Linked DNA regions of Arabidopsis thaliana. The protein of the gene in region 1 interacts with the protein of each later gene in a biochemical or structural test. Each region holds a gene or a part of one and is shown in the gene's direction. Other genes may lie near its edges. The genes, in order: TUA5, MAP65-2 and CSI1.

What was found.
Region 2: the proteins of TUA5 (region 1) and MAP65-2 form a complex in vitro, tested with the Arabidopsis thaliana proteins (one study listed by BioGRID).
Region 3: the proteins of TUA5 (region 1) and CSI1 form a complex in vitro, tested with the Arabidopsis thaliana proteins (one study listed by BioGRID).

Annotation. Positions count from the first base shown.
Region 1 is NC_003076.8:6,681,439-6,691,895, forward strand, and holds TUA5 (tubulin alpha-5), read left to right. Parts: upstream 1-5,591; 5' UTR 5,592-5,773; coding exon 5,774-5,886; intron 5,887-5,969; coding exon 5,970-6,184; intron 6,185-6,261; coding exon 6,262-6,461; intron 6,462-6,572; coding exon 6,573-7,081; intron 7,082-7,172; coding exon 7,173-7,488; 3' UTR 7,489-7,733; downstream 7,734-10,457. Other genes in the region: AT5G19760 (Mitochondrial substrate carrier family protein), read right to left, coding at 291-407; TUA3 (tubulin alpha-3), read right to left, coding at 1,323-1,638, 1,730-2,238, 2,350-2,549, 2,627-2,841, 2,924-3,036; RAP2.11 (uncharacterized protein), read right to left, coding at 7,833-8,594; AT5G19800 (hydroxyproline-rich glycoprotein family protein), read left to right, coding at 9,210-9,500. UniProt on the Arabidopsis thaliana protein: Tubulin is the major constituent of microtubules, a cylinder consisting of laterally associated linear protofilaments composed of alpha- and beta-tubulin heterodimers.
Region 2 is NC_003075.7:13,474,495-13,486,452, reverse strand, and holds MAP65-2 (microtubule-associated protein 65-2), read left to right. Parts: upstream 1-4,582; 5' UTR 4,583-4,804; intron 4,805-5,130; 5' UTR 5,131-5,152; coding exon 5,153-5,224; intron 5,225-5,297; coding exon 5,298-5,501; intron 5,502-5,585; coding exon 5,586-5,831; intron 5,832-5,907; coding exon 5,908-6,123; intron 6,124-6,285; coding exon 6,286-6,441; intron 6,442-6,518; coding exon 6,519-6,830; intron 6,831-6,923; coding exon 6,924-7,011; intron 7,012-7,099; coding exon 7,100-7,248; intron 7,249-7,325; coding exon 7,326-7,619; 3' UTR 7,620-7,861; downstream 7,862-11,958. Other genes in the region: AR192 (Co-chaperone GrpE family protein), read left to right, coding at 1-36, 290-733, 818-985, 1,065-1,193, 1,289-1,387; AT4G26770 (Phosphatidate cytidylyltransferase family protein), read right to left, coding at 1,756-1,845, 1,913-1,996, 2,072-2,128, 2,212-2,340, 2,429-2,515, 2,593-2,640, 2,732-2,888, 2,963-3,104 and 2 more; EXT-like (hydroxyproline-rich glycoprotein family protein), read left to right, coding at 8,071-8,164, 8,250-8,350, 8,650-8,759, 9,275-9,350, 9,451-9,594, 9,865-10,605; ATS1 (peroxygenase 1), read left to right, coding at 11,175-11,292, 11,614-11,763, 11,853-11,938. UniProt on the Arabidopsis thaliana protein: Microtubule-associated protein that stabilize microtubules (MT). Involved in the regulation of MT organization and dynamics. Confers MT resistance to the drug propyzamide and cold conditions.
Region 3 is NC_003071.7:9,400,345-9,411,299, forward strand, and holds the start of CSI1 (binding protein), read left to right. Parts: upstream 1-5,714; 5' UTR 5,715-6,006; intron 6,007-6,343; 5' UTR 6,344-6,448; coding exon 6,449-6,514; intron 6,515-6,835; coding exon 6,836-6,909; intron 6,910-7,128; coding exon 7,129-10,186; intron 10,187-10,357; coding exon 10,358-10,955. Other genes in the region: AT2G22122 (uncharacterized protein), read left to right, coding at 3,018-3,200.

The DNA of each region.
Region 1 (10,457 bases):
AATCAAAATCCAGATCTGAACTAGAACATTTCATCTAAACATGTATCAATAGCAACAATTCACACTCAAACGAGTCTGACTATGTTCCGAGCAATGAAATTTGATTATAATAAGCCAAAACAAAAACTCAGATCTGAGAGATAAAATCTACAGACTCGGATCTGATGAACAACATTTACGGATTTCGTAGGTATCAATACCAGCAAATCAAGCAAGAATTGTTAATACTAACGAGCTTAGACATAGAGATGGGTGATACAGAAACGTGTATCCGTAAACATTTGACAGACCTTAATCATGTCGATCGGCTGGATAACGCAAGTAGCGAGCATACCAGAGGCACCGCCATTGACGAAGGGCTTCACGGTAGTCCAGACACTGATTGGAGCTTTCTTCTCTTCCGCCATCTCTCTCTTTTCTTTTGTTTTCGTACGGACTCAAACGCAACCAGAAGAAGAGATTCCTTCCGCGGAGAAAAAGAGAGAGAGAAAGAGATTCACTTGGTGGAGAGGAGACGATGAAGTGTGAAGCTTATGGGCCTTTTATATTAACACCACCCAACTGAAACTAAATTGCACCAAACCCTTGCCTTTTTAATTTTTATTTTTTTCCATTTGCATATGAGATCTGATCTAAGCCAGACATATTTTCTAAATTTATTAATTTGGACTTTACTTTTCACCATTCGGATTTTACGCAATCCAAATATTTAGAGTTATTTATTACGCATTCATATGAATTTTAGATTTGACATTCGTCCATTTCTAATTTTCTAGTATGAAGTTGAAAATCGTTAGTATTCTGAATTTTTTGGGTCCAATAAATTCTAATTTTTTAAAAAAATTGATCTTCTGTATTTGTATTTTGTATTTGTTCAATAATTTTTGGCATTTTTCACGCCGTATTTTAGATAGTGGACCAGTGGAGCAGTATTTCTGATGCAATTTGATAATTCTGATGCCCTTTTGTGAAGATCAACGTGGTTTGTTAACATTAGTTGAATCTCATAAATGTATTATTAGCTGATACGACAACAAAGCATATACAGAACGTTGATAAACGTTAGCGCACCGATAGACGAGATTATACTTCAAGGAAAAATGGACAGTTGTAAGAAGATTATCAAAGTTTGGTACAACAAAAGCTTGATAATGAACTCGGGAACTCGCAATGGTCGCTCTACCAATGAAAATGTATCCAACCGAGATAAAACACGAAGACCGAACGAATATTTTACAGGATTTAAACAATCAACAGAATCAAAAGTGAAAACAGATAAACGAAAAAACTTTTTTTGGTTGCAGTTTTTTTGAGAAAAGGTGTCAATAGTCTTCACCTTCATCTTCTTCATCGTCTCCACCTTCAGCACCAACTTCTTCGTAATCTTTCTCCAGTGCGGCCAAGTCTTCACGTGCCTCAGAGAATTCACCTTCCTCCATTCCTTCACCAACGTACCAGTGGACAAATGCCCTCTTCGCATACATGAGATCAAACTTGTGGTCGATCCGTGAGAACACCTCTGCAACTGCTGTGTTGTTACTGATCATACATACAGCTCTCTGAACCTTAGCGAGGTCACCACCTGGAACAACTGTTGGAGGTTGGTAGTTGATTCCACATTTGAACCCAGTTGGGCACCTGCAAAACAAAACCCATGCCAAAGGAGTTATTATATAATAACAACATGAAGGTAGAAACAGTAGCAGCTTTATCCATTTCTAGATCATACCAGTCAACAAACTGAACAGTCCTCTTTGTCTTGATGGTGCCAACAGCAGCATTAACATCTTTGGGAACAACATCTCCTCGGTACATCAAACAACAGGCCATGTACTTTCCGTGTCTCGGGTCACACTTTGCCATCATGCTAGCTGGCTCAAAAACGGCATTGGTGATCTCAGGGACTGATAGCTGCTCGTGGTAAGCCTTGGCGGCTGAGATGACTGGTGCATAAGATGACAGCATGAAATGGATACGGGGATATGGGACAAGATTGGTCTGGAACTCAGTGATATCCACGTTGATGGCACCATCAAACCTCAAAGATGTTGTCAAGGATGAAATGATCTGTGATATCAACCTGTTCAAGTTTGTGTAGGTTGGCCTCTCGATATCTAGGGATCTGCGGCAAATGTCATAGATGGCTTCGTTATCCAAGAGGACAGCTACATCCGTATGTTCAAGAAGGGAATGCGTTGAGAGAACACTGTTGTAAGGTTCTACAACAGCAGTAGAAACCTGACATCACAGAGGAATATGCATTAAAACCAAGTTTCATCCAAATTAGACCACTATAGAAACATGTCATGTAAGAGTTTCTACTTCAGTGTCTAGCAAAAGAAAGAGTACCTGAGGAGAAGGGTATATGGTAAAACCAAGCTTAGACTTCTTTCCATAATCTACAGACAAACGCTCTAGCAACAGAGAACCCAATCCAGAACCAGTTCCACCACCAACAGCATTGAACACCAAAAACCCTTGTAAGCCAGTACAGTTGTCGGCAAGTTTCCTCACACGGTCAAGACATAGATCCACAATTTCCTTCCCAACTGCAATTACAAGAAGCATTCTAAGGACCATTTCAAAAACCCTAACAAGTTAGAACAAGCAGAAAGTGGATTCTCACCAGTGTAATGTCCTCTAGCGAAGTTGTTAGCAGCATCTTCTTTCCCAGAAATGAGCTGCTCTGGATGGAAAAGTTGACGGTAAGTACCAGTACGAACTTCGTCGATAACGGTAGGCTCGAGATCAACGAAGACAGCCCTAGGGACATGCTTCCCAGCACCAGTCTCGCTAAAGAAAGTATTGAACGCATCGTGTGCAACACCAACTGTAGTATCACTGCAACAACGCAAAAGACTCGTATCTCAAAAATCTTCCGATCCACAGAAACAGAGTACAAAGAGTGAATTAGGGTTTATACCTCGGCATCATTCCGTCCGGCTGGATTCCATGTTCGAGACAGTAAAGCTCCCAACACGAATTTCCGACCTGGATCCCAGCTTGTCCGATGTGAATGCTTATGATTTCTCGCATCTTCTCTCAGTAGAAACCCTAATTTCGAGCGATTCGCTTCTTCGACGGACGGAGAATTGAGGAAATGAGAGCGGTGAGCGAGATCTTCTTTTTTTCCTAATTTCCATGATTTTTGTGGGAAATTGATTATTTATTGAATGAGATTTGATAATTGGTTGGGGTCCGCCAAGTTGTGACAGCCTGCCTTTGGGACTGGGCATAGACAAAATACGTGAGATTCGATCTGGATCTAGATCTGGAAGGTGTCGATTTTTATCCGGTTTAAATAACTTACCGGAATTTAGGTATTTCGTTAGTATGAGTGAGGTAAATAATAGCTTAACCGACCTAAATCGATATTATAGGTTAAATTAGGGTTTAGTGGTTTAAATAACTATTGGTTATAGTAGGATGTTTTTGTAAGCGCCAAACAGAAAAGAAACGTCATGTAAGGTTGTCTTTGTTATAAGATTTTGATTCTCTTAGTGCATTTATTTATTAATTAACTTACATAAATATTGACTACGTAAAACGTGTTTTCAAGATTTGAAATCACAAGTTCTGAGATAACCCCGTATAATCCTTTTAATGACATAAGTAGGAGAATAAAAATTTGCAAAACTATAAATTTGTAGAATGAAAAATTGCATAATAAAACAAACAAATATATGTGTCTAAAATTAAATATACATATAATATGTATTTACATAATGAATTTTTATTTTTATTTTCTATGAAGAAAACAAAAATTCTGTATTTTTGCGTTTTAATAAATATTATGTTAATTTTCTTAATTGGTAACATTCTTATATACTCGTATTAAAAAAATGTCATTTTGCAATTACGCGTATTACTAATCGGAGCCAAATATTTTTATATTTTTCAATGAGTGGATAAAGGTACGACCAAAATGATGGTTTGATAACCAAAATGATTGTAATGATACGAAAGATAAACTCATATAAATTGATCATTCTAAGATTGTATTGGATGAATTGAGATAGTCAGCTAGATTAATTCTCTAATTGCTAAGTTAAGTTAGATGAATTGAGACAATCAGCTATATTAATTCTATATAGCATATTTTTCCTAAGCGGTTTCAGATTAAAGATGTCAAAGTGGGTTAAGCAATTGTTTAGATATAATGGATCAAGATTTCAAGATAAACGATTATCAAATCCATTGAATTCATGCATGCGGTTAGGAAGATAGCTTAAGTAGCAATTCAATCCTATAAATATAATGTTTTAAGGGAATTTTCATCCATTCAAACTAACAAAAAGACAAAAAAATGCATGATCCTAAAGCAATTGATAGTTAACCTTAAGACTAAAAAATTCCCAAAGAGAGTATACAGTAAAGTAGACAACGGTCGAGTGAAACCGTGAATCCGAAGAGAGTACATAACGGTCACAAAGTTTGCGAGTTTACAAAAATGCTAGTTGATATGATTGGAAATGGGTTGGGTTAAGGAATTGTTTGATTAAATATGTCATCAAGACAATTATTTCATATTTCCACATGACTTGGTTTGTTTATGAACACAAATAATGAATAGAGAGATATATAACTATTACATAAATAGTTATTTAAATTTTTTGCATGTAATTTATTAAAACTTCAGTTATGTATTGTGGTGGTTCTCATTCACACAATATCATGAAAATGAATAGATTTCAGACTAGGGACAAATCTTTTTACTTTACATTCAATATCCTAAGAACATTCCCAAATCGTTTTAAGAAAGGGAACAAAACAATTGCAGAGGATTTGAGGAAGATGAAGTAGAATGTGGATGTGAGAACCCTTACATCTCCAAGAAACACTAAACAATACTAATAATCTACTCATTCATAGGTTTACATTATTTTCTTTTCTGCACATAAGTTTACATGATTACATCCATTTGATCTCACTCCCGTTAGGTGCCGACTGCCGACCCAATAACTTCACATAATCTTATACATATATTATTGAGAGGTTCATATTATTTTTACTAGTATATATAATCGAATGACCCTGTATATTTTCATTTGTGCACCCACTTTTTTTTTGTTTCCACCTAATCAATTTTTTGATTAAAAACCATTAAATACCAAAGAGTTGTCCATTATGTTTTTTTTTGGTGTTTTAAATGTCCATCCATAATTATTAATTCATAAAGCATATCACTAAATAAAATTGATGATATAAAAACAACTATAGTATGATCATGACCAATAGTTTTATGTGACTTTTGTCATTATGTAGATCAACACAACTGAATCTGTTAAAACGTGTTCAAAAAAAAAAAAATTGTAGAATCTGTTTGAACAAACAATAATGAAAAAAACATTGAACCGGATCGATAAACCAATCCACGATTCGATCCTATATCCTAAATTGACGTAAACCAATCCGGTCCATAACAATAAGTAACATGTATCCGCCGAAGATATTTATGCCAGCCAAAATTGAGAAACTGTAGAATGAACTGGATCGTGTGGGCAATATTGTAAAATGAACTCATTTTCGAACAAAAGCGAAGCCGTGGGACCCAAGGCAGGCTGTCACAAAATGGCGGACCCCAACAAATTATCAAATCCAATTCAATAAATTAATCATTTTCCCTTCACAAAATATAAACCTAATTTGCCAACGAAGTTGAACCAAAAAAAGAAGATCTCACTCTCACCGCCTTCATTTCCTCGATCTCCGTCTTCCTCCTTCTCCGTCTGTCGCAGAGCATCGCTCGAATTAGGGTTTCTGCTGAGAGAAGATGAGGGAAATTATTAGCATTCATATCGGACAAGCCGGGATCCAAGTCGGAAATTCCTGCTGGGAGCTTTACTGTCTCGAACATGGAATCCAGCCCGACGGAATGATGCCGAGGTATAAACCCTAATTCTCTCTTTTATACTCTGTTTCTGTGGATCTGAAGGTTTTTGAGAGACGAATGTTTTGCTCTGTTGCAGTGATACTACAGTTGGTGTTGCACACGATGCGTTCAATACTTTCTTTAGCGAGACTGGAGCTGGGAAGCATGTTCCTAGGGCTGTCTTCGTTGATCTCGAGCCTACCGTTATCGACGAAGTTCGTACTGGTACTTACCGTCAACTTTTCCATCCAGAGCAGCTCATTTCTGGGAAAGAAGATGCTGCTAACAACTTCGCTAGAGGACATTACACTGGTGAGAATCCACTTTCTGCTTGTTCTAACTTGTTAGGGTTTTTGAAATGGTCCTTAGAATGCTTCTTGTAATTGCAGTTGGAAAGGAAATTGTGGATCTATGTCTTGACCGTGTGAGGAAGCTTGCCGACAACTGTACTGGCTTACAAGGGTTTTTGGTGTTCAATGCTGTTGGTGGTGGAACTGGTTCTGGATTGGGTTCTCTGTTGCTAGAGCGTTTGTCTGTAGATTACGGAAAGAAGTCTAAGCTTGGTTTTACCATATACCCTTCTCCTCAGGTACTCTTTCTTTTGCTAGACACTGAAGTAGAACCTCTTACATGACATGTTTCTATAGTGGTCTAATTTGGATGAAACTTGGTTTTAATGCATATTCCTCTGTGATGTCAGGTTTCTACTGCTGTTGTAGAGCCTTACAACAGTGTGCTTTCAACGCATTCCCTTCTTGAACATACCGATGTAGCTGTCCTCTTGGATAACGAAGCCATCTATGACATTTGCCGCAGATCCCTAGATATCGAGAGGCCAACCTACACAAACTTGAACAGGTTGATATCACAGATCATTTCATCCTTGACAACATCTTTGAGGTTTGATGGTGCCATCAACGTGGATATCACTGAGTTCCAGACCAATCTTGTCCCATATCCCCGTATCCATTTCATGCTGTCATCTTATGCACCAGTCATCTCAGCCGCCAAGGCTTACCACGAGCAGCTATCAGTCCCTGAGATCACCAATGCCGTGTTTGAGCCAGCGAGCATGATGGCAAAGTGTGACCCAAGGCACGGAAAGTACATGGCATGTTGTTTGATGTACCGAGGAGATGTTGTTCCCAAAGATGTTAATGCTGCCGTTGGCACCATCAAGACAAAGAGGACTGTTCAGTTTGTTGACTGGTATGATCTAGAAATGGATATAGCTGCTAATTTTTCTACCTTTATGTTGTTATTATATAGTAACTCCTTTGGCATGGGTTTTGTTTTGCAGGTGCCCAACTGGGTTCAAATGTGGAATCAACTACCAACCTCCAACAGTTGTTCCAGGTGGTGACCTCGCTAAGGTTCAGAGAGCTGTATGCATGATCAGTAACAACACAGCAGTTGCAGAGGTGTTCTCACGGATCGACCACAAGTTTGATCTCATGTATGCGAAGAGGGCATTCGTGCACTGGTACGTTGGTGAAGGAATGGAGGAAGGTGAATTCTCTGAGGCACGTGAAGACTTGGCCGCACTGGAGAAAGACTACGAAGAAGTTGGTGCTGAAGGTGGAGACGATGAAGAAGATGAAGGTGAAGACTATTGACACCTTTTCTCAAGCAATGTGCTACCAAAAAGTTTTTTCGTTTATCTGTTTTCATTAATGATTCTTGTTGATTACATGTTTGTTTTAATCCTGTACAATATTCGATCCTCCTTCGTGTTTCATCTCGGTTAGATACATTTTCATTGGTAGAGCGACCATTGGGGAAGATCCCGAGTTCATTATCAAGCTTTTGTTGTACGAAACCTTCATTATCTTCTTACATTGTCCATTTTCTTTAGGTACAATCTTGTCTATTGGAACATTGTAGAGATGTGTTCTACTTTACAATCATGGATCATTGATCCAAACATTACATGAATTGATCAGGAAAAGTAAATTGGAAATCACGTAGGGCAGAAGAGTTGGGAGAGTGAAGGGAGATCCCAAATGGGATCGGTAGGATCGAAAATTGCATATTCTGCATTCATGTTGTCATAGTAACTGTTAGCTCCATTCATTGCATATAGGGACGCAGATATCTGTCTTTCAATTTCTGCAAGACCCAAATGTTGATCGGTTGAGTAGTGATCGTTGAGATGTCCATGTGTTTCTCCCCCTGCCTGAGCCAATGGAATCTGATGGTTGAATCCAGAGACAAGGGGCCACGAATAAGGAAGCTGGAGACCCTCGGTTTCTGGTTGCCCAATGACCGATGAATCTGGTCGGTACACATTATTGAGCGGTATGGCCGTGGTAGTGGTGGTGGTGGTGGTTGTGGTGAGACTAGTAGCAGTCGAGATGTAGTTGATGTTGCAATCCGTTAAAGAAGAAACTGGTTTGTGTTGTTGTTGTTGCTGCTGCTTCATGCTCTGCTTCTGGTGAAGAAGATTTCTGATCTTCAAAGATAGTTGTGAGTTGTTAGGAAAATGGTTTGCGAAATTGGTGCGAGTATTGGAGCCACGTAAGAGACATGCAGCTTCATCGTAGGCTCGAGCGGCTTCTTCTGCGGTTTCAAAGGTTCCGAGCCACATCCGTATCTTTTGTGTAGTGTCTTTGATCTCTGCCACCCATTTTCCTGAAGGCCTTTGCCTAACTCCCACAAACTTAGTCTTGTTGCCTTTGCTCTTCTCCTTAGTTTTCTGCTTTGGAGTTGTTTGATGTTCCATATTTTTTTTGTATGAATCTGTACATAGACATAGTTATAGGCATATATATAGGGATACATAAATTTTTCCATTTTGTGCTCGTATGTTTGGGTCAAATCTTAGTGGTTGTCTCGTCTTTCTGAAAACTTGTTCTTGTTATTTTAGTGATGATACGGATTACGGATATGAATTTTATAATTATGGGCTTTTGGGTACTCTTGAGAATCATTCAGAGGTTTTATGTGGGTTCCATGTATTAATTGAGTGCGCACCATTTTCTGATTTTCTTAGTATTAAAAAGATTTGTACAGAAGACAAATATGATGTGTTTATTTCTCAGCTTGGAACTGCGAATATTTTACCCAACAAACTATATTTTTTAAGACTTACGTATGCTTAATGTTTAGAGGGAGGCCTCAATAATGAGAAGAAGAGATTTTTTAAATGCTAAGCCGACCAATTTATACTTTAAAAACAATGATCTTGACAAGATCTTACAAGGTTAGTGGGAAACCTCTAAGTTAGAGCTTACAAGAAAAATATCAATCTATATATGTCTTAAGAATATTAACAACAACTTTAGCAAAGAAAAAGAGAATATTAACAACAATAAGTAGACAATACTGACCTGAAATAATGGTGTCGCAAAGGTTTTCCTTGACCCTAGTTTTTCTATTGGCAATCTTAATCACAGTTGCTAATGGAAACGACAACAGAAAGCTATTGACATCTTACAAATATTCTCCTCCTCCGCCACCGGTCTATTCACCTCCAATTTCTCCTCCTCCTCCTCCTCCTCCTCCTCCTCCTCAATCGCATGCTGCTGCCTACAAGAGATATTCACCGCCGCCACCACCCTCTAAATATGGAAGAGTGTATCCACCACCTCCCCCCGGAAAATCATTGTGGTCGTTCCTTAACCTCTAAGAAGCATGCAAGTGGCTCAGGAGAAGACATTTATTTTCTGCCATATATTACTCACTGATGGATTGTTATGTAGCGATGACTAAAGCTTCTTCTGTTTTTTTTTAACCTTCTTCTTTTTATTGTATTGATTACTTTTGCAGTTTGTATATTCAAAATTTCTGACTAAACATCAAATGGGCCATCTTTCGTTTATTGATTGGAGACTTCTTTTACAGGTTTTATAAAAGATGATCATTACATATATATACACCCACTTTTGACTTGCATCAAAACAGTTTTTCTATAAACAAAACTAGATCGAATGTAACCATCATCTAGATTACATGGATAGATCTAACTCTTAAGTACGTAAGATTTATACAATGTTTAAGGTTACATGGCATTTATCCTTTAACAAATACAAGTAGTGGTTAATTTAGAACAAAGTCATTACATCCATCAAATATCGAAGAGAGAACACCATTTTCGAAGCAGATGCCACAGAGTCTTTAACCGGGAAAGGGTGGTTCATCCGTTGATACGATACCTAGCCAAAAGTGGAAATATGGGCGTCTACATTGTGAAAATTCTTTGTGTTCGAGAGAATTTAGAAATTTCGGGGATACTAAAGAGAAGCTATTACACATATCTCTCTCTAAGTTTTCTTTCAAAAGGGGTCATATTTTTTGTTAGAGGTTAATTGAGTTTGGTCGCTTGTTTTATTTAATTATGTGTATGTTTGTTAAGTTTATACATTAGGAGTTGGGTCTTGTCCTAAGGGTAGTTATGTTAAGAGTTAAAAGGGGAGAGTTACAAATCTTGTTCTTAGTGTTGTTTGGTCGGGTCTGTTGAATATTATAAGAACACGTTGTCTTTGTTTGGTCGGGTCAGATTTTCAATAATAAGAAACTTCAGTTTTAATTTCATAACTCTGTTTCTGTCTCTCTCGTCGACAAGTCTCTCTGTTTCTTATTTATC
Region 2 (11,958 bases), on another chromosome or scaffold:
CGGTTTCACTCCCTAGCTCACGATTTCTCGCATAAGGTTCGATTTTCACTCAAATTAATCACTATTCATGCCGAAATTGCAATTCAGGGTTTTGTTAGGGTTTAAGGCTTTCCCTCATTTGAGTTTCTAGAAATGATTGCTATCTTCTGATACTGTTTCCTTGATCTCTTATGTTTGAATCTTCAGATATATGAATAAACAATAGAAGAATGGTTTAGATTCTCTATAGGTTTTTGCTCTGTATCATTTCACTGAGTTTAACCCATTTTACTTTTTTTTTTGGGGGCAGCTTGTTCCAGCTCAGATGTCTATGATGGATTCGTTTGCACTGCAAAGGTTCAATTTTTCTTCCTCTACCTCGCCTGAATCAGATGAGAAGAAGACCCACACTGAGGCCTCAAAGACAAGTGAAGAGAAACCTACAGCTGAGGCAAACCAACCAGGTCTTGACTCTGAATCTAAAGATTCTGTGACAGATTCTGCAAAAAGAAAGCGGAAAGGTGCTAAAGGAGCTGCATCTTCATCTTCTGAATCAGATTCTGAGAGTGATGATGATGAATTGTCAGCCGATGATTTGGTGAAGCTCGTAGCTGAGAAGGAAGAGCTACTGTCTGAGAAGGAAGAAGAGATTAAGCAGTTGAAAGACAAAGTTCTTCGCACTTATGCTGAGATGGAGAATGTCATGGACAGAACAAGACGTGATGCTGAAAACACCAAAAAGTATGCCGTACAGGTTAGTCTTTAAGAACTTGGTTTGCAGCTTTTGTTTCATATAATAGTTTTCTGAAATATATATATTCACTATATATGTATGCAGAATTTTGCAAAGAGCCTATTGGATGTGGCGGATAATCTTGGAAGAGCTTCTTCGGTTGTCAAAGAAAGCTTCTCAAAGCTTGACACCTCAGAAGATTCTGCTGGAGCAGCTCCACTATTAAAGACCCTTTTAGAAGGAGTGGAGATGACTGAGAAACAGCTTGCTGAGGTAAATATCGAGAAATGTAATTATAAGACCTTAAGTAAGCAATGCAGATGAGACCGGTTAAACATGTGTGCCGCTGCAGGTATTTAAGAAATTTGGTATGGAGAAGTATGATCCTATAAACGAGCCATTTGATCCAAACAGACATAACGCAGTGTTCCAAGTCCCTGATGCTTCTAAGCCAGAAGGCACAGTTGCTCATGTCTTGAAGGTAAATATATAAAGCTTGCTCAATTCTTTGTCTCTTTATTTCATATTGTATAGTCTTAAATACCAATTAGTAATGATGGGTGTCAATATGTGCAGTCTGGATACACGCTGTATGACCGAGTTATAAGACCAGCTGAGGTTGGTGTTACCCAGGGAGGAGAGAACCAAGAAGAAAAGAAAGAGTCTGATGCTTAAGAAGAAGTCAGCTGGTTTTCATAAATTTTGTTACGGTTCTATGTTTCCATTAACATCTTCTCGAGTCTTCGAGTCATAGTTTTCTTTTGTGGTTTGGTTATTCATTAGATGAACAAGATCTCCCATAAGTTGCTGGACATGGCATTTGCAGGGGAAATCCTGCTTCTGTGTCTGTTTTCTCTATCTCCATGCTATAATTGAACGAGGAAAATATCATTTTACATCTCTTCTACTCGCACACTATTACCAAGTCTCTGTTTGATTAGTTAAATCAGATACAAATCAAGGTTTTACATGGTCTGATACAACCAGAAACTAACCATAGAGAAAGAAGCTGAAAACAGAGTCACAAAACTTGCACTCACTATTTAAAACCTCCCTTGCAACTTATGTTGAAGAATGTCTCCGAGCTTTTCATAAAGCATTTTCTGCTCCTCGTGTCCCAGGCTCCTCGATATCTGCAGGTATAATACAATCAATTATTTACAATGCCTCCGTATTCTTGGCTTATATGATGATTCTTACCTGGTCTAGGATCATCTCGACACTGTAGTCCCGATTAACAATGAAAGATTGGATGTAGATGTATGCGAAAACCGCCATAACCATCTGCATTTAGGCAACAAGATTCGTTTAAAACGATGCAAAGATCATATTGCACTTTTCGACGTTAGTGACTCTTACTTGGCAATCCATTCTGTCAGTAAATCCTCCATGTCCTGGTATGCTGTCTCCGAAATCCTGTCAAAGCGACATAAACTAGTAAATATTTGTTCTTGGATCTGTAGATACAAAACCTTTTAATGTTTGAAAAATGTGTTAACCTTGATCTTGAAAGCTCTTTTGAAACCGCTTGCGAAGAAGCCACCAAAAGGCGCCATAATGGATGCGAATAGACCGAGAGAAAAAGCATGCCATTGGACAGGCAGGGTCGAGATCCCTTTCCATGGAGACTGTTAAGCAAAGTTCACAACGGAGCTCAGTTTCAAAACAAGACAACATCATCGGCTGGTTTTCACGAGAGGACAGTTAATTGCTTACAAATGGAGTAATCCAAGAGGGAAATGGGTAATACTCTGGCCTGAAGAGAGGGCCTGGATCACAATGAAGCCAACCAGTTGATAAATCCTGCAAAAGATATGCAACACAAGGATGAAGTAAAGGCCGAGACAAAATATTGTGATGGAGATATCACTTTTTGTTACCTTCCTTGGACATGTAAGCCATTGGAACTGGCCTAAGACATTAGCAAACTGTTGTACGAAGCAGATAATAATCTATCAGTCTTGAGACCAAAAGAAAGAGTTACGAACGAATGAATAAATGATAGAAGAAGGTTATTACAATAAATGCAGAGATTATAGTTGCAACTGATGCTCCGATGAAACCTTCCCATGTTTTCTTTGGAGACAACTTGATGAGCGGAGTTTTCCCGAAATAGAAACCGAAGAAGTAAGCTGCTACATCGTTCATAGCAATCAGTGCTGCTGGTAGAAGAAACCTGCATATTTAAAAGAAATTAGCACTCGGGAAAACTATTATGCTTCAGTGGATATATATAAGAGTCCATTGTACCAGAAGATCCCTTCAAAAATATTGGCGACGGTGAAAGAAGATTGAGTAAAGACAACGATAAGGATCATATGTGTCCAAGCGTATTGCCCAAACTGATACTTATACATCTTATTCTTCAATGTAAGGATAAACCATATGAGACCTGAATCCAACTTAAGCTGTTAATAAATCAAGAAAGAGAGTATTGTTTTTGTGAAGAAAAAAGAAACAGACAAACCTGCGATGTACAAGAAGTAGCAAATAACCATCTGGTACTTGATAAGACCACTCACAAGCTTGTATATGAATCTATCTGAAGAAACCGTGTTGACTAGCTGCTGTTGAATGATGCGTCCATAGACAAACAACATAGCCGTGAAGAAGAAGTGCCAATTCAAGAGCCAGAAACCGGGTAAGCGACGTTCTTCATGAGCTCTTCTGCGAAGAAAGAAGAGCTCTTTGGCCATGAATATCTGTATAACCACAACCATAGCCCAAATGTAGAGATGACCCATGTAGATTATAAACACAACTCCACCGAGCATCCAGAGAGATGAGCATGTCCTTATCCACATTGATCTGTACTTGTTCTTATCACCAAGTAACAAATTGCTTACTCTGCTTACATTGCTTCTGTTCACCTCAGCTAAATTCTGATCAATATTGAAAAAGACAATCAAATTTTGGATTCAACCGGAAAAGAGAGTATGACATTGTATAGATACCTCGCTTGATCGCCTGCGGTGTCGAATGCGAGCTGTTGGAGAGCTAGGAGTATAATTGTAATCCCTTGGTGAATTAGGAATGTTGGGATAATGGTTATCTCTCTGGTTATTAGTATTCATTCGAGACGTTGGTGTAGTAGGGTAACTAGTATCCCTTAGCTTTCTAATCCGTGGAGAATTTGGACTGAGATCTTTCTCCATTGCCATTGAGATCCCTAGGAAATGCTCTCAGTTCCTGGATTGAGTTCTTGAAATTCAGTTAATCATGATGATCTGGGTTTCTTTATACATCCGAGGAAATGAATTTGGGGTTGATCTATAATTTCAAAATGTCAACCATAACTCGAGCTTATACACGTCTTAATGAAACACACACATTGATATCTGATGAGAGATTACTTGTGTAACAAGCATATAATAGAGGATTTAGATTTGAATGTGTAAGCCTAGAAATCTAAATGATTCATCAAAGCAAAACGTGATGATTCACATACAAAGGATAAATTTCATAAGTGAACATTGCAACAAAATGGGATCATGACAAGTAGAAAAAAGAGAATGAACTTACATTAACGAAAACGTGGTGGGATGATGGTGATTGAAAATGCGAAACCCTAATTAATGAAAAGAAACGTGAAGAAAGAAACTCAAAAGGTGAGGGAAGAAGGAGGAGGAGGAAGGTGGTGGATGAGCACTTAGCGGTGAGGTTTCATCAAATCATCGGAAGAGAGAACCAATAAACTATTCATGTCGCTGCTTCATGTTTAAACCCGGAATGAGTGACACGTGTTGTCTTGATCTGTTTGGGCTGGGTCAGATATTTAAGCCCATTAAGGAAAGCCTTTTAACTATTCAGACATGAGCATGAGGAGTCAACGAGGTCTGTGAGATCAGTGGTCAAATCAGTAAATAACGCGAAAAGACAGGGTCTCTCACCTTTTTGCTGTTGTTTTTTCCTCATTAATTATTGAGTTCCGTAAAATGGGTCCCACTTTTCCCATTTCCCAACCTCCATAACCAAAGTTGGAGATTTCTCTGTTTCCTATGCTCTCTCTCTCTCTTACTCTCACAGTGACTATTCGTCGCTTCAGATCTAAAAGAGAGGAAGATAAACCATTTGGATTCAATATCGATTAAGGTAAGAAAGCCATCTTCTACTTGTTGGATTCGATTAGTTTCATTTCAGCTCATTGCCTCTTTACTTCTTCAATGTTGATTTCTTGCTTTGGCTTTGGTTTTATCACCAATGCTGTTTGATTTCTTTGAAGTTCCTTTCGAGCTTTTCTTGAGCTTAGTTTCACATTCTTAGCTTCACTAAGTTCTTTGATGTGTTTTTGTTCCCAAGTTCAAAATGTTGTTTCTGATTCAATTTGGTTTTCTAAAAAAGATTGCAACTTTGGTTTCTTTTAGTGTATAGTTAGTTTGGATCTTCACTAAATATGTTCGTTGTTTCTACTTTTGTAGGAAACCTTTTGACTTCACAAGAATGGCAGTGACAGAAGCAGAAAATCCTCTTCTTGGTGAAATCACTTGTGGCACCTTACTACAGAAGTTGCAGGTAGATTTCGCAACATACACACTTATCCTTTTAATATATGGTTCCACAAACTCAATGTACAAACTTGTTACAGGAAATCTGGGATGAGGTTGGGGAGAGTGATGAAGAACGAGACAAACTGCTTCTACAGATTGAGGAAGAGTGTCTGAATGTTTACAAAAAGAAAGTTGAGCTAGCCGCAAAATCTCGTGCAGAGCTTCTTCAGACTTTGTCAGATGCCACTGTTGAACTTTCCAATCTCACAACTGCTCTCGGGGAAAAAAGCTATATCGACATTGTAAGTAATCTCACGTCTTACAAGTGGTAAAGAGATGAGATGGTTACAGTGTAGTGTGATTCAATGTCTTTGTTTCCATTGCAGCCTGATAAGACTTCAGGAACGATCAAAGAACAACTTTCTGCAATAGCACCTGCGCTTGAACAACTTTGGCAACAGAAAGAGGAAAGGGTCCGGGCATTTTCTGATGTACAATCACAGATTCAGAAGATATGTGAGGAGATCGCTGGCGGATTGAACAATGGACCTCATGTGGTTGATGAGACTGACTTGTCTCTAAAGAGATTAGATGACTTCCAGAGGAAACTCCAAGAGCTCCAGAAAGAGAAGGTAAAATATTAGTTGGGATATGGTTATGTGTGGCCTATGTTCAAACCAGAACTAAAACTGCTTTGTGTTTGAGCAGAGTGATAGGTTACAGAAGGTGCTCGAGTTTGTGAGCACGGTGCATGATCTATGTGCCGTCCTTCGTTTAGATTTCTTAAGCACTGTCACCGAAGTTCATCCGAGCTTAGATGAGGCAAATGGTGTTCAAACCAAGAGCATTAGCAATGAAACACTTGCAAGGTTGGCTAAGACTGTCTTGACTCTTAAAGAAGATAAAATGCAAAGACTTAAGAAGGTTAGTCAAAATCATGGTCTTTGTGATCTCTGACATGAGCTTGGTCAGTTTAGGCTGCACATATGTTGAAATCCTTTCTGATTAATTGCGCTGAAAGTTTGTAACTTTTCTCTGCACCATTCTTGTTTGTGGATTTCATTAATGTATCTTGGTTTTATGCAGCTTCAAGAACTAGCTACTCAGCTAACTGATCTATGGAATCTGATGGATACTTCTGATGAGGAAAGGGAGCTTTTTGACCATGTTACCTCTAACATTTCAGCTTCAGTTCATGAAGTGACTGCCTCTGGTGCTCTCGCACTTGATCTTATCGAACAGGTATCGTAAATTTGTAATGTATCAATCAATGTGTATGATAAGTACTGCTTTTAAAAATCTTCTGTGAACTCTTGAAGGCTGAGGTGGAAGTGGATAGGCTTGATCAACTGAAATCTAGCAGAATGAAGGAAATTGCATTCAAAAAGCAATCAGAGCTTGAGGAGATATATGCTCGTGCTCACATAGAAATAAAACCAGAGGTTGTTCGTGAGAGGATCATGTCGTTGATTGATGCTGGGAATACTGAACCTACTGAGTTACTGGCTGACATGGATAGCCAGATCGCAAAGGCCAAGGAGGAAGCCTTTAGTAGAAAAGAAATTTTAGACCGTGTAGAGAAATGGATGTCAGCTTGTGAGGAAGAGAGCTGGCTCGAAGATTACAATCGAGTATGCTAACATTGGCTATGTTAATAAACACATTACTTATTAAGCATAGAGTTCAATTGATGATTCTTTTGGGTTTTTGTTCTGGAAAAACAGGATCAGAACAGGTATAGTGCAAGCCGAGGTGCGCATTTGAATCTCAAGAGAGCTGAGAAAGCTCGGATTCTGGTCAGCAAGATTACTGGTAAGAACTTCCAAAAGTCTCTCTTAGTTATTACTACACATAGAATTAAACTGAGACTGAAGAATATATCATACTTTGTTTGTGCAAGCTATGGTTGACACGTTGATTGCTAAAACCCGGGCATGGGAAGAGGAGAACAGTATGTCCTTTGAGTACGATGGAGTTCCTTTACTCGCCATGCTAGATGAATACACTATGCTTAGGCAAGAACGAGAAGATGAGAAGCGGAGGCTGAAAGTAAGTTGTTTCATCCTGTGTTAAACCGATTGTTGAAACTAACTTCTTTTAAAATAATCTTGCCTTTTCATTAACAGGAACAGAAGAAGCAGCAAGAACAGCCACACACAGATCAAGAATCCGCCTTTGGGTCTAAACCAAGCCCTGCAAGACCCGTTAGTGCCAAGAAACCGGTGGGAACACGAGTCAATGGAGGAGGGCTCAACGAAACTCCTATGAGGCGTTTGTCTATGAACTCAAACCAGAACGGAAGCAAGTCCAAGAGAGACAGTCTGAACAAGATAGCTTCACCTTCGAACATTGTAGCCAACACAAAAGATGATGCTGCATCTCCAGTCTCTCGTGCTGACCCAGTGATGGCTTCACCGTGACAATATCAAAAGAAAGAGAGTTATAATGCTTACTTACACTTTTGTTAGTTGCTAATAGTGCTGTTTAAGAAACAAACACTTAGAAACAAAGACAATGAGAGTAGAATGTTACTTAGATGTTTCTGTTTCTGTATTCATTCACTCAAATTTGTTTGGTACTTGTTAGCATGACTAATGTGAAGTGACCGGTTTAGTGAATGAAAGTCAAGGTTCTAATTGGAATTACGAAATAATATTTGGGCAAAATTGTAATATACTGAAAGATCTTTTGGGCATGATTTAAAAGTTTAAAAAGTTTCCAAGAAGGTTTGGGATTTTAGAGGTCCTTTCTGCGACGTCGTTTCTAGTTTGCAATCAGAAGCGCGTTAAATACAGGAAAATTTCTTGAGCTGTTTTGTCTTAACAAATCAATCGGAGAAAAAGCTACGGAGCTCGAGAGAAGAGAGAATCTATGTCGAACCCAAACGAACCAGCCAGGGCTCTTCTGCCTTACCTGCAACGTGCCGATGAGCTGCAGAAGCATGAACCACTTGTTGCTTATTACTGTGAGTTTCGTTTTCTTATCTATATCTAACCTAGATGATCGCCTCCTGCGATTGTGTGTATTCATGGAATTTTGTGATTGATTAGGTCGGCTATATGCAATGGAACGAGGATTGAAGATTCCGCAGAGCGAGAGAACTAAGACCACCAATTCGATTCTCATGTCTCTCATTAATCAACTCGAAAAGGTATTACCTTTGAAGTTTTAAATTGTGAGTTTTTCTGATTTATTTCAGCTTGTTTGATTTTTTACTTGTTTAGATTTGAAAGGACCGGTTCTTAGTAATTCTCATGATGTGTTTGACTTTGATTATTATATGTTGTTACTTGTTACAAAGCTGGAGTTTTTTTATTTATGTTTGTGTTTGGTAAGGAGGCTTATATCTAAATTTAGCTTAGGTTTGTTCATGTGATTGACAGAGTTCATGAGGCAATTTCTTGATTAGTTCCAGTTTCTTATGGCGATTTCTTTTTTGTGTAACTCCAGGATAAAAAATCATTGACTCTGTCCCCAGATGACAATATGCATGTGGAGGGGTTTGCACTTAGTGTCTTTGCTAAGGCAGACAAGCAGGATCGTGCAGGAAGAGCAGACTTGTAAGAATTTTTTTTGCTCTTATGTTTGATTATATATAGAATGGCATTTTTTTTGCCCTCAAGTTTCTAATAATTTTAGGGTCACCGTCAACACTAGCTCAATGAGTCGAATTAGCATGATTCTATAGATTCATTGTCTGTCTAGTATTATTGTGTTTGCCAATACTGGAAATAGCGTGCAAGTACACATACATTTACAATGAGTATGCATGTCCGGCAGACATGTTTTTAGGTGATACCTTCCTCTACCATCGTTTAAGATAGCGGGTTAAGTAATTAGTTGGATGCATCCAAGGCTTATCTCGACCTGTTGTCTTCTACCTGTTCTGCTTTTGCGAAATACCTGTATCTCCAGCATTGATGTGTTTCTATGCATGGTTGGATACTGATATTAGTTCGATTACTGTCTGTATCCTTATTTTATAAGTGCTAACACCTGCATTCATTTGACTCAATTACATAGGCTTCCGAGTTGCGATGGATTATCCAAATTAACTTTGTTGTGCTTGTGACAGGGGCACTGCCAAAACTTTTTATGCTGCGAGCATCTTCTTTGAAATTCTGAGCCAGTTTGGTCCCGTACCTCCTGATGTAAGTTCCTACTTCTTTTTTTATTCACTTAACATCACCTTAAGAGGCAGCTGTGTTGGGAGATTGATATGTGTATATATGTAATGGCTCCCATTAACAGATAGAGCAGAAACACAAGTATGCTGCTTGGAAGGCTGCTGACATAAGGAAAGCCATTAAAGAAGGAAGGAAGCCCACTCCAGGTGATCCTGTGGATGATGATACTGATTTATCCATCCCATCAAGCGGTCCTAGTGGCTCCTATGTAAGTTTCTCTTCTTGAATATTTATGGATTGGAAATATCTTGATATTGGCTTAGCGTGTATTCTGTCCAATAATATCGAAAAGTGTTTAGGAGCGTAAATGTTTATAGAATTCGCATAGCGCTGATCAAAATCATCTAGCTAGAGACACACACATTCACACCCACCTGTGTACTTTTAGGTTTTTGTTTTCTCAATTGTCAAAACACTATGATAAAACGTCTGCATCAACTTAATCGATTCATTGTTTGTGCATGTTAATTATCTACAGGATCACAGTGCAAGTGATACCAACACAACAAGTCATCATAGAACAGAGCTTGATCCACCCCATGACTCGAATGATGACTCCAGCCACCATCAATTCCCTGAAGTGCCACAACACCCTCTACCTCCCAGGTTTTATGACAATCCGACCAACGATTATCCCGCAGATGTCCCACCTCCACCACCGTCTTCTTACCCTTCCAACGATCATCTTCCCCCTCCCACAGGACCATCAGACTCCCCTTACCCGCATCCTTACAGTCATCAACCATACCACCAAGACCCGCCAAAACACATGCCGCCACCGCAAAACTACTCATCTCATGAGCCTTCTCCAAATTCTCTCCCTAATTTCCAATCTTATCCTAGCTTTAGTGAGAGCAGCCTCCCATCCACTTCTCCCCACTACCCTTCTCACTACCAAAACCCAGAACCTTACTATTCTTCTCCGCACTCTGCACCTGCTCCTTCTTCCACAAGCTTCTCCTCTGCTCCTCCTCCTCCACCTTACTCATCAAACGGGCGTATCAATATTGCTCCCGTGCTAGATCCTGCACCGAGTTCAGCTCAGAAGTACCATTACGATAGCAGCTACCAGCCAGGGCCTGAGAAGGTTGCAGAGGCACTCAAGGCTGCTAGATTCGCTGTGGGAGCTTTGGCTTTTGATGAAGTCTCGACTGCTGTAGAACATCTCAAGAAGTCACTTGAGTTGCTAACAAATCCATCGGCCGGTGCCGGTCACTGAATTTTATATCTAATCTATGACACTTGGGGTTGATGTTAGTGCGTGTGTGTGTTCTCAACATTTGTGGGTTTGTTTATTAACTTTTCAGGCTCAGACTTCGTTTACAAAGAAAATTTGTGTGAATTATTCTTATTATCATAAAATTTTCCTTGCAACTTCGTGTACATTCATACATACATAGGCAATGGAGTTCCTCTTCAGTCTTCACGTAAAGAGCGAGTGTGGGACACGCACTCATGTAGCGGGTGGTGTTAGTACTCGAGGTTGGGCCTATATAAAAGCCCATAGAGGCCCGAATTACTGAATTTAGCAGACAAGAATAGAAAGAGTGATGAAACATGGAAGAAAACGTGTCTCTAGAGTCATGTCAAGTGTAAGACAGAGGAAGAGAGAAGAGATGTGCGTCAAAGACAAGGAAAGAGAGATGTCAATCGCTGCTTTCGTCGGCGCGTGCATGTCCGCCACGCACATCAATCAAATCGATTCTTATTATTATTACCTCATTATACTCTTTACTCTAAGACAAACACATACATTTGCACTCAGTCTAGAGACAAAGTGAGAGAGAGATGGGGTCAAAGACGGAGATGATGGAGAGAGACGCAATGGCTACGGTGGCTCCCTATGCGCCGGTCACTTACCATCGCCGTGCTCGTGTTGACTTGGATGATAGACTTCCTAAACCTTGTAAAACCTTTCTCTCGCTACTTGCATTTTTTTATCCCTAATTGATTTCAATATATTGCATGCCAAAAAATATTTGATATATGGTTGAATTTAAGAAACCCTTTTAAATATATGGAATTGCCGACCCTCAAAATTTTTAAAACATGCATATAGAATGATGTTCATGATCTTATAGAAGCTATAAATTGTAAAATGATACATATCCTGTATATGATGGTAATTAATAATGTATTACCCATGAACGTGCATGAATAATTCTATACACACATTACACATACGTGGAAATGATACAGATTTTGATCTTATATGTGTTATGCATAGATATGCCAAGAGCATTGCAAGCACCAGACAGAGAACACCCGTACGGAACTCCAGGCCATAAGAATTACGGACTTAGTGTTCTTCAACAGCATGTCTCCTTCTTCGATATCGATGATAATGGCATCATTTACCCTTGGGAGACCTACTCTGGTATGTCTATATAGTATATATAGATATTTCAACTTCAAATTTTTCGTTAGTATTATATGTACAAAAAGTTGATCCCAACCGGTGATTAGGACTGCGAATGCTTGGTTTCAATATCATTGGGTCGCTTATAATAGCCGCTGTTATCAACCTGACCCTTAGCTATGCCACTCTTCCGGTAACACCTCTCCTCCTCTG
Region 3 (10,955 bases), on another chromosome or scaffold:
TAAGTGGTTATTATCTGACTTATCCTTCCCCTTCCCTAATTTTTTATAGTTAACATTTATGAAATGTGGTATATATATTTTACTTGTTTTTTCAACAAATGTGGTATATAGCTTAAACCTTTTGTTTATGTCGTTTGTCCTTTAATTGAATTAACAATGCATTTTTACTTTTTATAGTATATATAGCTTACCCATTCGAAACCCAAGTTAATTGCCAGCTATGTTTGTACTCGTAAAAGGCATTAGACATATGACTACTAGTCTACCACAACTGTTGATTTTGGAAATGGATATTAAAATTGTAGGATTGGTAGACTGGTAGTCATAAATTCATGGTTGGTCCTTTTTTGTTTCATTGTTCCATTAGCTAAAAGCTTCATACCAATAGTAACAATATTGAAGTTTTTACTAATGTATGCTTCATCCTATTCTTCGACGCTTTGCTTGCCAAAATATTGGTATGCATAGTCTGATCCGCAACGTATGAACCAATCATTTTAGTCCTTTTAATCAGTAGATCTTTAGTTTGTTCCACTAACAATGCAGTGTCAACTTTATTGTGAGTGTTCTCTGCGCCTTGAACCAACACAATCCTACGATCTTGTGGTAAGACCTTCCGAATCTAGCAGTGCATAACACTTTTTCTATAATATATACGATTCATACTAGCAGTGCATAACACTTAAGCTAATGTTCCAAACTCCTCTTTAATTTTCTTGATTGGAGTTAGATGTAAATATATAAAAACACAAGTATATTGGAGACTGATTCGATATACATAAACAACTAGTAATATGGTTCATTACCCAAAAAAAAAGAAACTGGTAATATGATTCCAAATCATAATATATACACTATCGTTCGTCCCATACGTACGAATCACATAGTATATAGTCATAGATATCGCGTTGGTCGGACTCGGACACTCAATGGTCGGTAAATTTTAAACTATACAGAAATGATGACAACTTTAATTAGCATAGTAGCTAAAAAAAACAGAGCAAATGTTAACAGTTATATAATATAGTTGCATAAGGCCTTACGAGCCGACCTTAAAGCGAAGGCCACCATATGTAGATAATGCCTCCTTTCTAGTTCGATTATTATTTATATGTATTTTAGTTATTACCCACTTGTTTCACTATATATGAACTAAAAATACTGAATAATTCTTTAACAAAAAAACAAAGCTATTTATAATTAGTTACGCTAACAATTTAATTTTTAAACGTGATGAAATATTTGTCTAACTCACGAATAAATACATTATCATAAGCGACTAAACATGCATTCTTGTTTTAAAAAACAAAAAGTAAACCAACTTGTACCTTAATAATATTTATATTTTTGGTGTGTACCTTAATAATATTGATTAATACCCTTTAATATTAATGTCCTTTTAAAAAATTGATTATTGTCGCTACCGTGTTATTACTTTTTATTTGCGTCCGAATGATTCATTATATTACACAAACATGGAATACAAAATAGAATGCGGTTTTGAAACATTAAACTGATTAGAGTCGAAACTCTTTCGAAAACTAAGCCGGCGAAAGATAAAAATATCTCCAGAAAACTACACCAAATAAGGAAAGGAAACTAGAAACAAATATCTCTTGTCTTCTTAATTTTCTTTGTTTTTTTTAAAAAAATATTATAAATGTTTAAATGCATAATATTTTTTTTCTTGTGCTCTTAACGTAAGAAAATAATAATAAATGTTGTTATCACTGTATAAATATAACCAACAAAAAAAAGGTAAAACAAAATGTTGATGAAATTCATGTGTCAGACTGATGCCCTTTTTAACACGTAGAACGTGGGTGTTAAATGTCGTTAATTATCATGGAAGCATCAAATGTTATACTTATACACAAGAAGAAACTGAAGAACAAAAAATAAAGAGAAAAAGAAACTAAAGAACTATCTTAAAATGATACATATGTTTTTCAATTGCTTGCGAGTTTCAAGGTTAGTAGGATTGTTTTTCTGGTATTCGAATTTTTTAGGATGTAAAAGTTTACATATACACTAGCTAAAACGCTGATATTAGGGCTGGGCACAAGTACTCGTTACTCGTCCTATACTCGCTACTTGGCTCGTACTCGCTTTGAAAAAACAAGTACTCGTTATTAATAAGGCAAGTAACAAGTAGTATAATTTAGATACTTGCAAGTACAAGTTAAGTAACAAGTAATGAAAAAAAATTAATACTCGACTCGTTTGACTTGTTACTCGTTATTATTTTACTATTTTATATACATATATTGTATTGTTTTAGCGTTACACATTTAAAAACTACATTAGAAATAAAGTAAATTTTAAACATGTAAAAAATATGATAAATAAAGTAATAAGTAATTTTAAGTAATTCGAAAGTGTTACTTGCAAGTAACTCTCAAATACTTGCAAATAACTTGTAAGCAACTCGCAAGTAGCAAATAATAATTCGTAAATATTTGTAAATAACTCGCAATGAGCAAATAATAACTCACAAGTATGTATAAATAACTCGCAAGTAGCAAGTAACATGACAAGGCAATCATATTTTAGCAAGTACTTGTAATTACAAGTACTCGTTTTTAACAAGCCAAATACAAATAGTTATTTTGATTATTCGTACAAGGCAAGTCGAGTAACAAGTATCCCTAAATTAGCAAGTACTCGCCTTGCGCCCACCCCTAGCTGATATTGTCCATAAAAATATCAGTGCAATAGTTTTTTAACTATTTTAAATTCGGCGAAATGGGTCAAAGTCAGACAATGAATCGATTAAAGTTAAGGAAAATAAAAAAATTCAAGGGATAAAGAGAATGAGCATGGAGAAGCATAATGATGAGAATGGAATCATATCCAACGGCCATAAAGCATAAGTCCTTTCTCTATAAATTACGACAACTTCTCTTCATCATTATAACCAAACTCATCCTTCACTTCATTATTCCTTTAACCACACATTCTCTTTGTTCATTATAATAATCAAATTAACTAACATATAATCGAACTATAATCACAAAATGTCTTCGATGGGAGCAAACTATGCACAACTTCAAGTCATGCAGAAGAAGCAGAAGGAGAAGATGATGAAAAAGAAGTTGGAGAAGAGAAGAGATGGCGGTGTTGACGGTGAAGAAGGAGGTGGCGTTTCTTCCGCCGGTAATAGAGTATTTCCGGTCAAGTCTTCTCCGTTGTCGACTTAAGAAAAAGTAGAAAGACAAGAGTGAATTATGAAGTGTGAGATATTTTCTTCTATTTTCAGTTGACTTTATGTGTCTCTATGTCACTATGTGTGATGTGATGCGATGTGATATACAAGTGGTCGTCTTTTGTATCAAGTTACGTAATTTGTGTTCTTTTTTTTTTTTTTTCAATGTCGATTGTATTAAAAAAAACTTTGTATATTTTCGTAGATTTCAATCAACATGTAAGATATATCTCTATTGACAATCTATTTTGAAGTTTTTAATTTTTGAATTTCGCCAAAACGTTTACCAAATTTGTGAGACTTGCATAAAACACGAGTGGTCTATTCAGCCTATAAATTAGTTGAATGCTACAAGCCTACAAGCTTAAAATAAATCGAAAATTTTATATATTAATTAAAACTTATAATTTGTTTAGTTCTGTTTTCTTTCTCAGTGACTGTTGATTTTATATATAATTGTGTCTGACCTAAATTGTATTGCGTATGATTGAAACTTGTATGATTTGTAGAAAAGAGAGAGAGGAGGAGTGTCTATATGTTTTTATTTCTTTTTGTCTTGGATCCATTACCATATCTATAGGTCTCAGATTCTATGTTTACAACCTAAACTGTTTTCATTATCTATGAAATATTTACAATTTAGCAAAAAAAACAATGACAATCTACTCATCAAGAGGACTAGATGATGACTTTCAAATCTTTTTTTTTTGGTTTTTTTTTTTTTTGGCAAAGATGACTTTCAAATCTTTGCAAACAAAATCAAAATGTAAAAAATGAGAGAGAGAAACCAAAAATAATAATGAGAAAATAGTCTATTAAGAAAAGATGTACGTAAGAATTAAGTTAAAATGTAACACTAAAATAAAAGAAAAAATCAAATGTATGATAAGACCCTCATCAAACCATTATATTGAAGTAAATTATATATGTATGAAAATGAAATATCAAAGAGTTCTTTTACTCTCACTTATGACACGCTAAATTAAAACCACTAAAAACCATAATATTAATTTCACGGCTACAAGTTGATGCTTCCTCAAACTTACTACGTTCCAATGCCGGGCACTGATTAAATATGGACTTCACATCTTTTTTTTTTTTTTTAGATATTCATTTCCAAACGGTCTATTGACAGATGGGCTAAGAATTTCACGGGTTACAAAAAAGTGGTCCAAATCGGAACATAATAGAAACAAGATCAGTAAAACGACGGTTCACCGGCCGGAGACGCAGCCTTCACCTTCTATATCCGATGCAAATTTAACATATTTCGAACGAATCTATGAGATCTATATGAGAATTTTGCTTCTTGGGTTTTATACGGTTCGGGAAAGTGGATGTATCAAGTTGTGACAAGAAGCATCAAAGAATATGACTTTGTCCAGTCATTTTTATGGTATAGTGATGATCGTCAATGATCATAATTGGCTAGGAAGAAAGAGCACATGTGCATTCATATGATTATCATAATTGTGCATATCATATGCTTTTATGGGCATAGTTGTCGATAGAAACAAAACATGCGTCGAGGAAAAAACAAAAGAATAGTTAAAACTTAGAATCTTTGATTCTCATGAGCCATGAGGCCATGTGCTTTTTCTCTCCCACGTTATATGTTTTACCATCCTTATAATTTGCTCCCCCGACTTCTCTCACTTTCAGACGAAAAGAACTGCTGTCGCGATTTTTGAACAATTATGGAAAATAATTTAGATGTGAAGGAAGCCGTAAAAATAGTTATTATACTTTTTGTCCATATATATAGAATTCGTGATGATTATGTTGTGGATGACAATTGGTGGTAGATAGAAACCTTTACTATCGCCATTGTTATGGGCTAATTAATCAAGTTTGGTAACAAATCAACATAATAGGACCAATAACAACAACTACTGCAGATCTTACTATTATTCTTTTTATTAATTCATCAGTATATTTTATTATTTTTTCTTGATTGTTTATCCGATTGATCTTGTAAGAGATAACTTTTGATTATTACATAACTTACTTCAACATGTTAAATGACACAATAAAATAGACAATTTATTTTTGATATCCTTTTGAAAAATATTAAATAAATATTTGTAATGACTGTGTTGCACTAAAAAATCGAGATAACCCCATGAGTGATAATTTGGTAACATAATCTAAACTTAGAGACAATTAACTAATTAAGTTATTATCTGAGAAATAAATTAGACAATATTTTTATTCGTGTGTGTAATTTTTGTGGTATAATATTTTTTCTTATATTGTTTCAATTCTACGGATGTTTTGGATAAAAAGGTTAATCAAATTTATAAAATGTAAAATTTTGCTTGAACAAATGAACCAAAATGTTTACTAATTGGCTAATTGCTGGAAAAAAACAGTTATATAATTTTTGTTAACAAAAAAAATGTTTGATGTAAATAATTAATTCACAGCTAAAAGTCAATTTCCTCATTTATTTTTGATTAAAGAAAGTAATAAAAAACAATTAAGTATACCATTCGCTGTACAAGAGTCGTTTAGTTCTGTCGGCTCGACAACCGACTCAAGCCGGCTCGAGTCGCTAAGTGAATCCACTCGCTGTCTGTCGGTGGACAAAGCCGGCTCCAATCTGATCACTCTCTCTCACCAGCACACACACAGCTCTCTCTCTTCCCTCTCTCTCTCCCCCGCTTTATACTTTGTTGAGTCAAAATCACAGACGAAGAAGAAGAAGAAACCTCTCTCTCACTCCTCTCTCCTTTCTCTCGTCTTATTCGCTTCTCTTCTACGTAACAGATTGTTCATCTTCTTCTCCTTGTTGCATTGAGGTGAGTTCAATTTGATCTATCAATGTCTAAATGCATGCTTTTTGAATTATCGGATCTCTTGTGTTTGATTTCATTGATAGAGATCCAATTATGATCTAGATCTGAAGAATCCTGTTTTTTGAGTTCCTATTGGTTAAAAAGTTTCCTCATTTAGCTTTAGTTCGAATCTGGAATGTTAAACGATTCGGATCGAGATTTAGCAGTAGTAGAATTCAGTTAGGTAGAGTGATATTTTTATACTATTAGTCTTCAATTATAATATAATTGCATTGAGCTTTTCCTACTTCACTGTATCGTTTTCTATTGTAAAGATTGATCCTTTTTATATATTATGCAGGGGGTGTTGTTGATGTTCTGACGATCTGATTTGAGTAGATCTGGGTAGGGGGCAAGGTCTCTGGGTCTACTTTTGATTTGAGAATTTTTTAAGTGAAGTGAAGATATGACAAGTGCTCTTGGATGGAGATTTCCTTCCACTAATGGAAATGGCCTTGCCCCAAGTGACACGGTAATAATTACTTGATTCAGTATTAACATTCATCACACGGGTTTATGGAAAAGCTTGTTTAGTTGATATACTGCAATCTTTCTGAGTTGCAAAGTCAGATCTGGTGTATTAGCAGGATGATTAAGCTGATATGTCCCTTGCATTTTGAATCTGATTTGAAAAAAGTACTTGAGCTAAGTCCATTGTTAATTAATGGCTTTGTACCAGTCAGTTATATCTGATAGAGTGTCATGATAAAGGTTATAGTTTTTCCATTGCATAGGAGCGAAAAGGTCTTGTTGCTCTTTTAACTTATTTTCTGTTGTTTGGTCTTGATTGCAGGAGAGAAATGGGGATATGAAGATGCATGATTCAGAGCCCCCAACTCCACATTCAACCACAAAGATGAGTTTGAGGTAACGCATATATGTATTTGGTACTGCATGGGAGCTAATCATCGTGATAAAATTGAGGTTTTATCTGTATTTGTTGCACCACCATCTTGGTTTAACAATGCCTGTGGAAATTAATATTATCTGGATTGGTTTCCTATGTTATCCTTTCAAATGAGACATTTTAAGCAGAAAGGCACACCTATTAGCGAATTAGTATCTAACTTTCCCCATCCCCTGCAGAGACCGGACAACCAGCATGGAAGATCCAGATGGGACATTAGCAAGTGTTGCCCAATGCATTGAGCAGCTGCGCCAAGGTTCATCATCTGCACAAGAAAGAGAATATTGTCTGAAGCAGTTACTGGACCTTATAGAAATGCGTGAGAATGCATTCAGTGCTGTCGGATCACACTCCCAAGCTGTGCCAGTACTTGTCTCTCTTCTCCGATCGGGATCAGTTGGAGTGAAGATACAAGCTGCAACCGTCTTGGGTTCACTCTGCAAGGAGAACGAACTTAGAGTTAAGGTGTTACTTGGGGGATGCATTCCTCCATTGCTTGGTCTTCTCAAGTCCAGTTCAGTCGAAGGGCAGATCGCTGCAGCAAAGACAATCTATGCTGTTTCTGAAGGTGGGGTTAAAGACCATGTTGGATCAAAAATATTTTCCACTGAGGGAGTTGTACCGGTTCTGTGGGACCAATTGCGCAGTGGAAATAAAAAAGGAGAGGTTGATGGTTTGTTAACTGGTGCACTTAAGAACCTTTCTAGTACCACAGAGGGATTTTGGTCTGAGACAATTCGAGCTGGGGGAGTGGATGTACTTGTGAAGCTGCTCACAAGCGGGCAGTCAAGTACACTATCTAATGTCTGCTTCCTTCTTGCGTGTATGATGATGGAAGACGCCTCTGTTTGTTCCAGTGTATTGACTGCAGACATTACAAAACAGCTTCTCAAATTATTAGGATCGGGTAATGAAGCCCCAGTGAGGGCAGAGGCTGCTGCTGCTCTCAAGTCGCTTTCTGCTCAATCTAAGGAAGCAAAGCGGGAAATCGCTAATTCTAATGGTATTCCTGTTTTAATAAATGCAACAATAGCTCCATCTAAAGAATTCATGCAAGGTGAATATGCGCAAGCATTACAAGAAAATGCAATGTGTGCCCTTGCTAATATTTCCGGTGGTTTGTCATATGTCATATCAAGCCTTGGTCAGAGCCTTGAATCTTGCTCTTCGCCTGCTCAGACTGCCGACACCCTTGGGGCTTTAGCTTCAGCATTGATGATATATGATGGCAAGGCAGAAACTACAAGAGCATCAGATCCATTGGTCGTTGAACAGACTCTGCTGAAGCAGTTTAAGCCTCGTCTACCATTCTTGGTGCAAGAACGTACAATTGAAGCACTTGCAAGTTTGTATGGGAATTCCATACTCTCTGTCAAACTTTCCAACTCGGATGCAAAACGTTTGCTTGTTGGTCTAATAACGATGGCGGTGAATGAGGTTCAAGATGAGCTTGTAAAGGCTCTTCTGATGCTGTGTAACCATGAAGGTAGCCTGTGGCAAGCACTACAGGGCCGTGAAGGGATCCAATTGCTAATATCTCTTTTGGGTCTTTCATCCGAACAGCAGCAAGAATGTGCTGTTGCACTTCTTTGCCTTTTGTCTAACGAAAATGATGAAAGCAAGTGGGCCATCACTGCTGCTGGAGGTATACCTCCACTTGTTCAAATTCTAGAGACTGGGTCGGCCAAAGCCAGGGAAGACTCTGCAACTATCCTTAGGAACTTGTGCAATCATAGCGAAGATATACGTGCTTGTGTTGAAAGTGCGGATGCTGTCCCTGCTCTCTTATGGCTACTAAAGAATGGTAGTCCAAATGGTAAAGAAATTGCCGCCAAGACATTGAATCATTTGATTCATAAATCAGATACTGCAACTATCAGTCAGCTTACTGCTTTGCTGACCAGTGATCTACCTGAGTCTAAAATTTACGTTTTGGATGCATTGAAGAGTATGCTTTCTGTGGTCCCATTCAATGACATGCTACGTGAAGGCAGTGCTTCCAATGATGCTATTGAGACAATGATCAAGTTGATGAGCTCTGGTAAAGAAGAAACTCAAGCAAATTCAGCATCAGCTCTTGCAGCTATCTTCCAGAGCAGAAAGGATTTGCGTGAGAGTGCTCTAGCCCTCAAAACTCTCTTGTCGGCCATAAAACTGTTAAATGTGGATTCGGAGAGGATCCTTGTTGAGTCTTGCCGCTGCCTGGCTGCAATTTTACTTTCAATTAAGGAGAATCGCGATGTGGCCATTTCTGCCAGAGAAGCATTGCCTACCATAGTATCTCTAGCCAACTCTTCTGTTCTAGAAGTTGCTGAGCAAGGAATGTGCGCTTTGGCTAATCTTATATTGGACAGTGAAGTGTCAGAGAAGGTCATTGTCGAAGATATCATCTTGTCCGCCACTAGAATCTTACGTGAAGGTACAGTGTCTGGGAAGACACTTGCTGCTGCGGCAATTGCCCGCCTCCTTAGTCGTCGCCGAATTGATTCTGCATTGACAGATTCTGTGAACCGAGCTGGAACAGTGCTTACCTTAGTGTCTCTTCTAGAATCTGCCGATGGAAGATCTGATGCAATATCAGAGGCCCTAGATGCGCTTGCTATATTCTCAAGGTCAGGAGCTAATGGAAATGTAAAACCAGCTTGGGCTGTTTTGGCTGAATCTCCCAACAGTATGGCCCCAATAGTCTCATCTATAGTGAGTGTTGCTAATCCTTCACTACAGGACAAAGCTATTGAAGTTTTGTCAAGACTTTGCCGAGATCAGCCTATTGTTTTGGGAAACATGGTCAACAATGCCAGAGATTGCGTGTCATCTATAGCTAAAAGGGTGATAAATACCAGGGACCCGAAAATAAAAATTGGTGGAGCTGCTATTATTATCTGTGCTGCCAAAGTTGACGACCAGAAGATGATAGAAAATCTGAATGAGACACAATTGTGTGCCAAATTCGTTCAAGCACTTGTGGGGATCCTAGATTCTGTGCAAGATCAGGAAAAGGATGAGAAAGATAAAATCTGCATATGCATTCATCCCAAAGAAAAGGAAGAAGATGAAGAAGAAGAGGCAACAGAAAATAGGGAGGGTTCCACGGGGGCAACAGTTATTTCTGGAGACAATTTAGCCATCTGGTTGCTCTCGGTTCTTTCTTGTCATGATGAAAAGAGCAGAGCAGTAATATTGGAGTCAGAAGGCATTGAGTTGATTACTGACAGAATAGGCAACCGTTTTCTCCAGGTATTCAACTCTCTTATAGATTAAAATCTTTGAGATCACAACTTATCAAAGTTTCAGAAGTATGGATAAAAAAAAACATATTATGAATCTGTGATAGCGTTTAACATTCTAACTCATTTTGGAATGCTAGGTTGTCGTTTATGTTGCTTTAATACCTTTTTTACATTTCAGGCTGATAATGGAGAAGATGCCAACATTTGGGTTTGTGCTTTATTGCTGGCCATACTTTTCCAAGACAGAGAAATCACTCGCGCACATGCAACAATGAAGGCTGTTCCAGTGCTCTCAAATCTTGTGAAGTCAGAGGAATACGCAGACAGATATTTTGCAGCACAAGCTCTAGCTAGTCTTGTCTGTAACGGTAGTCGCGGAACTCTTCTATCTGTTGCAAACTCCGGTGCTGCGGCTGGGTTTATATCATTGCTTGGTTGTTCTGATGATGACATAAAAGAACTTCTGCAGCTGTCGCAGGAGTTCACTTTAGTGCGGTACCCAGACCAGGTTGCCCTTGAAAGGCTTTTCCGAGTTGAAGATATTAGAGTTGGGGCTACTTCTCGAAAGGCGATTCCCTTACTAGTTGAACTTCTTAAACCAATTCCAGACCGCCCCGGTGCTCCTCTACTTTCACTTAATCTTCTAACTCAGCTTGCTGGGGACTGTCCACAAAATATGATTGTCATGGTAGAGTCAGGTGCTCTTGAGGGTCTCTCGAAATATCTTTCCCTTGGACCTCAGGACGAGCAAGAGGAAGCTGCAACAGGTCTTTTAG